Linked DNA regions of Elephas maximus indicus. The protein of the gene in region 1 interacts with the protein of each later gene in a pairwise test. Links are inferred from orthologs where the notes say so. Each region holds a gene or a part of one and is shown in the gene's direction. Other genes may lie near its edges. The genes, in order: RFESD and HBQ1.

Evidence for each region.
Region 2: the proteins of RFESD (region 1) and HBQ1 interact in binary tests that used the Homo sapiens proteins (3 or more experiments, as listed by UniProt). The two-hybrid records come from large-scale screens. The link is inferred for Elephas maximus indicus from reciprocal best matches to the Homo sapiens genes RFESD and HBQ1.

Annotation. Positions count from the first base shown.
Region 1 is NC_064820.1:102,942,634-102,946,558, forward strand, and holds the start of RFESD (Rieske domain-containing protein), read left to right. Parts: upstream 1-1,297; 5' UTR 1,298-1,401; intron 1,402-1,837; exon of another isoform or gene 1,838-1,942; intron 1,943-3,925.
Region 2 is NC_064830.1:57,503,523-57,506,004, forward strand, and holds HBQ1 (hemoglobin subunit theta-1), read left to right. Parts: upstream 1-844; 5' UTR 845-867; coding exon 868-962; intron 963-1,118; coding exon 1,119-1,323; intron 1,324-1,460; coding exon 1,461-1,589; 3' UTR 1,590-1,672; downstream 1,673-2,482.

The DNA of each region.
Region 1 (3,925 bases):
TCCTGTAAAGATTATAGATAGCGCTGGAAACCCCATGGGGCAGTTCTACCGCATCCTATAGGGTTACCATGAGTAGGACTTGATGAGACTTTTCTTTTTTTTTTTTTAACCCTAGATGATAAGGAAAACCCATTGCTGTCCAATCTATTTGGATTCATAGTGACCCTACAGGACAGAGTAGAACTCCCCCATAGGATTTCCAAGGCTGTGGTCTTCACGGAAGCTGACTGCCACATCTTTCTCCTGTGGAAAGACAGAGTCAAGAAACACTTTGGTGAAAAATCTATCAGACTCATCTAGTCTCCTGCTGTGAACACAAGTATAAGGGTTTTTGTTTTTAACTCAGAGACATACAGAAAGAAAAACAAAAAGTTGCTCATAATTTGCCTGACCATATAATGCCAGTTGACATCTTACTATAAAAGAACATACTTCGTGTTTACAAAAATTACTGCAAGGTTCAAAAGATGAAAGTGAAAACCATTTCTCATGGTCACCCCACAGCAACCCGTTAAATTCCTTTTCAATTATTTTGATAAAGTTTATATATATACCTGCATATTTGTATCACTAAAGATAATTTTTATTTATACTAAAGTATATACAGTATTCTATACTTTGCCTTTTTAACATTCATTGCCCCAAGGCATTTGTCATTTGCGTATACAGCTATAATGTAACTCATACGTCTACACTGTATTTTATTTAACCATTTTCCTGTTGATGATCACTACTTTATCTTATTCTTTCCTTGCAATCAACACACTTATACATAGATTAAAGAACCCTCATGATGCAAAGGTTAAGCGCTCAGTGGGTAACTAAAGGTTGGCCCTTAGAACCCACCCAGCAGCTCTCCGAGAGAAAGACCTAGAGATCTGCTTCCCTGAAGATTACAACCACAAAAACCGTGAGATTGTTCCACTCTGTCACATGGGGTCACTGTGAGTTGGAATCGACTTGATAGCACTAAACAACAAATACATGGATTACATGCATTGTGACAAACTTTTGCAAATATTTTTATAAGATAGATTCATAGACGTGAGATCGTCGGGTATATTTAAAATTTAGATACTGTGGTGAGATCAACAAACAATTAAAAAAATAAACTGATGCCACCCATATCTGTCAAACACACCATTAAGACTGCCAGTTTGGAGGTCCTCACTGGGCGTGAGTGGCCAGCGACCCCACCATCAGCCACGTCATCTGGCGGCAGGGGCACCTAGGCGGCCTCTGGGGCGGGCGCTCTCTGGTCACGTGGGCAGCTTTGCCCCCCCCCCCCCCCGCCCCGCGGAGGCGCCGCGCGCGTAGCGCGGTGCTTTGACTCGCGGATTCGCATCACGCGGAGGCCTCGGCGGCCCCTCCCGCGGAGACGGAGCGCGGGACTCGAGGACCGTAAGTTCTGTTCTTCCCGGTAGCCATTGGGCGGCCTGCGCGAGGCGGGGCTCGCGGCGTCCGCTGCTTCCTGTCGGCGGCACGGCCGGAGCGCGGGCTTCCGGTTGCGGCTGCGGCGACCTGGCAGCTGGAAGGCAGTTGTCCTGTGGCCTTTGCTCCCGGCCCCACTGAGCGAGCCCTACCGCCTCACGGGGCCCCGGCTCAGCCCCGGTTAACGGTTAACCCGCTGGCGCAGGGTAGCGCCGGGTCAGAGTGGCCTCCCGACCTTGCTCTCTGAGTAATCTGGGTCTCACCCTGGCCCTGACGCCTCACGGTGGGGGGAGGTGGGGTTAAAACAAACTTTACTATCACGGTGGGGGGAGGTGGGGTTAAAACAAACTTTACTATCAAAATATCAAAGTTTACAGCCCCGTCTTTCCCAAATGTTGGTCTCCAGAAATCCAGAGAATCCACTGAACAGCCACGCCCAGACTGTCTTTGTGGCTCCTGGGCCTCTGAGCTCTGCTGAGTGATGAAAATGCGCTGGGCTGCTAACCAAAAGGTTAGTTGTAAGAACCCACCCAAAGGAGCCTCAGAAGAAAACCCTGGTGATTTGCTTCGGAAAGGTCACAGCCATTGAAAATCCTGTGTAGCACAGTTTTACCCTGACACACATGGAGTTGCCATGAGTTTGACTTGACAACAACTGGTTTGTTTAGTTTGAGCACCACTTTAGTATAAGAACTGCAGACCTCTTTACTAAACTGTTAAGTACAGCTTGAAGTCATTGATTTATAAACTATCAAAGCTGGAAGGACTTTAGGGATGACAGCTAACATTATTTGGGTATTTCCCATAGTCAGGCCTAACTCTAAATATTTGACGTGTATTAAAGCATTTGTATTATTTATTCCTCACCCTGTAATATGTGGCAGGTGCTATTATTACAAAAGGCTTTCTTACAGAGGAGGAAACTACTGGTGCAGCGAAGTTGTGCAGCCTGCCCCACAGTAAGACGCAGAGCCAGGATTCCCACCTGGATCTCTCATATAGTAGAGGAAGGTAGTGAATTCCAGAGTAGCTACTTGAAGTGCAGTGAGTTCATTAATTTGACCCTTCTAGCCATAGTCTTTGTAACTCCAACCAAATGACTGAGTAGGACTGTGCAAATGAGGTGCTCGTGGCCATCAAGGGGATTGGATAGCTTGCTAATAATGTAAATAAGGTGCATGGCACCCTTGTGGGAGTAGGACCATGCAAGTAAGGTGTGTGGAACCCTGATGAGGGGATTGGTCAGTTTCACCGTCCTACTAGGCTTAAAATGAGCCATCCAAGATGTGGGAATGGGGGACCTCATGACTACCAAGAAGAAGAGATGGGACTGGAGGGTGTCCTTTGGATCTGGGATCCCTGTGCTGAGAACCTCCTTGACTCAGGAGATAGAGACCTGTAATACCTGAGACAGCGGAAAGCAGTAGCAGAGAAATGGCGGCAGCAGAGGCAGCAGAACCAGGAAACCAGCAGGAGACTTGCCGCCAGAGTAGTGTGCCTCCAGGCACTTGGTGGAGCTAGGTGTGCCCACCCCTGGAGCTAGAGCTGGGCGCCTTCTGATCAAAGCTTAGTGGTGGAGTGGGGTGCCTCTGGGCACTTACCAGCGAAGCTAAAAGAGCTTTGTAACACTTGCCTGAGCAGGGCAGAGGTTGGGCCAGGAGGGCTGAGGGCCAGAGAGAGGCCTGCCTTCTGCATGACTGAGAAGTGGCTGTCCTGATCAAAGAACTGTACCTTGAGCATTCCTGAACCTGAATTATAACCTGTTACTTTCCTAATAAACCTCATAACTATGAGTATGGTCTGTGAGTTTTGTGTGGCCATGGTAATGAATTATCAAACCTAGTGACAAATAGAGAGTCCCCTGGGAGGGACGGTTGGTGTCAGAATTGGTAAAGAGGTTGGAGGAAGAAAGTATGTGTGACCTTCACCCCATAGGAATCAGCCTTGGGCTGATCGTGATTCTCCTTCCTCCTTGTGAAGTTAGAGGAGGTTAGACACTGTCCCCATGCCATTCTTAAACTACTTGACTTTATTAAGTTATTAGGCAGCTATTCAGTTTTAAACATTTAAACATTTGTTGAGACAGTTCTTCCACATTAACGTTTCCAAACCAAAAAAAAAAAAATTAACAACCATTGTCATCATATCTATCACCGTCGTCATTTGGGGTTTATATATATGTATAATCATATATGTATGTGTACATATATATACATACTTATATATACTTGCATGTGAGCAATTGATGGTCTGTTCCACAGTCGGCCCCTGGTCTTGTTCTGACTGGTGATATTGCACTTTTCCATCGTCTCTTTCCACAGATGTAGTCAATTTGATTTCTGTGTGTTCCATCTGGCGAGGTCCATGTGTATAGTCGCCATTTATGTTGGTGAAAGAAGGTGTTTGCAATGAAGAAGTCGTTGGTCTTGCAAAATTCTATCATTCGATCTCCAGCATCGTTTCTTTCACCAAGGCCATATTTTCCAAATACTGA
Region 2 (2,482 bases), on another chromosome or scaffold:
CCATACAATGAAATATAACCCGGCCATAAAAAGAATGAAGCACTGATACATGCTACAATATAGATGAACCTTGAACACATTATGCTGAGTGAAAGAAACCAGAAAAAAGGGACACACAGTGTATGAGCCCATTTATATGAAATGTCCAGAGTGGGCAAACCCATCGGGACAGAAAGATTAGTAGTTGCTAGGGTCTTGGGGAAGTGGAATGGAAAAGACTATCTAAATGGGTGCAGGGTTTCCTTTTGCAGTGATGAAAAAGTTCCTGAACCAGATAGTGGTGATGGTTGCACAACATTGTGAATGTACTTAAGGCCACTGAATTGTCACATTAAGATGGCTTAAATAGTCAATTTTATGTTATATGGATTTTACCACAGTTTAAAAAATAGGGTTTAGAGTAGCATCTGGCCCAAAGTGAGTGCTACCTGGGTGTTAGATCTTATTATTGGGGTACACTGCAGGCCCTCAATAAATGTCCACTGCACTGAAATGAACATCTGCTATCAGATAACACTTGACATGTTTCCCACTTAATTCTCACAACAATCCGGAGAAGGAGAAATTGTTATCTAGACTTTATACAACAAATGAGAAAACAGACTCCAGAGGTGTAATAAGACTCTGGAAGCAGAATAAACTCAAGTTCCATGCTAAAACACAGTGTTATCTACTACTAATAAATACTAAATATTATTTCCCATATAGTAGACACTCAAAGCGACTGGGCCCCTCAGGGTACAAGGCAATTAGGAGGGTCCTGGGTCAGGCCCGATGAGGGAGACTGAGCGCTCGGCACCCCTTTGGCTAGGGACTCGGCCTGTGAGGGGCGCCTCCTGGAGCCGCAAGGCGGCTCAACTCGGGTTAATGGCGCTGTCAGCGGCGGAGCAGGCTGCCGTGCGCGCGCTGTGGAGGAAGCTGGGCGACAATGTGGACGTCTACACGACGGAGGCCCTGGAGAGGTGGGCTCCCCTCCAGCCCCCCAGCCTCCCCTTGGGGCTTTCCTGCAGCCCCTGGGGGCTGCCGCCCTCCTGCGCTCCCCCAATCCCCTTCCGGGACGCCCCTTCTTCCCTGCCCTCCACCCCCAGGTAACCGCTCATCCGCCGCTCCACCTGCAGGACCTTCTTCGTCTTCTCCTCCACCAAGACCTACTTCCCCCACTTCGACCTAAGCCCGGGTTCAGCCCAGGTCAAGGCCCACAGCAAGAAGGTGGCAGACGTGCTGACCCACGCCGTCCACCACCTGGACGACCTGCCCAGCGCGCTGTCCGCGCTGAGCGACCTGCACGCGCACAAGTTGAGGGTGGATCCAGTCAACTTCAAGGTGAGGACCCTGCCGGGCAGTCCTACCGTCGCCAGGGAGGCACGGTCCCCATCAGGGCCGGGGTCTGGGGTTGACGAGACCCAGAGGAGTGCTGGGGTGCCGTGGGGCTGAGCGCAGCGCGACCCCGTGCTCCGCAGCTCCTTGGCCACTGCCTGCTGGTAACCCTGGCCCGGCACTACCCGGGAGACTTCAGTGCCACCATGCAGGCCTCGCTGGACAAGTTTCTGAGCCACGTGATCTCCGCGCTGGTCTCCAAGTACCGCTGAAAGGGAGGGGGCGAGGGGGCAGGGTCCTGGGCCTCCCAGCAGCCCAACCGCGTGGCTCGTTTGAGTAAAGTCCCCAAGGCCCCAGGCTGCCTGGAGTGGTGTTCTCTGGAGGGGGCGTGGGGGTGGAGTCCCGGGAAGGGGGTGCAGCCCAATTCCATGTCTTGAAGTTTCACCCGACTGTGTGTCCTTGGCCGCAGCCCCTCGGGGCGCAGACCAGGTGGCCCCTCGGGAGCAGGGAGGGGGGTAGGGGGTAATAGGTCCCTACACCTGCGGCTGGGCAGCTGTTGTCCTGGCCCCGCCACTCTTAGGGGTCTCCTCTGGGATCCTGGTCCCTCACCCGCCTGGGGCGGAGCGTGGGGGTGCAAGACTGGTGGCGCAGGTAGGTGGAGGGACCAGGAAACGCATGCGGTCTCAGCCTCTGAGAAAATAGGGAATGGCACCCCCTGCTGGTGCGGGCTGCGGAACGCTGCCCTCGGCCACATGCCCTCGCAGAGGGCTGAACCCCACAATAGTACACAGCTGCCCCGTGTATTGGTGTATTGGTATTGGTGGTTTTGTGGTTGGAAAGGCTTGAGGGGAAAGCCTCTCATTGCAGGACTCTGGTGGAAGAAGCAGGTCCAACTCCAGCACTCTGTCCGTCTAAGGACAGGGAGGCCAAAGGTTCTCTTATTCTTTTCTGTATTTTTCCTCTTAAAATCATGATCCATGCAGGGACTTATAACTTTTACTCCACCTACTACATCTTCTGGTGAGTCCCAGGCCCTGCAGTCTCCTCCAGGGAGACTTAGGTACGGAAAGGTTATATGTGACACACACAGATAAGCACACAACAGTCTCCCTCCCTCTCTCACAAACATGGACTGTAACTTTTTTTTTTTTTTTAAAGAATGGTA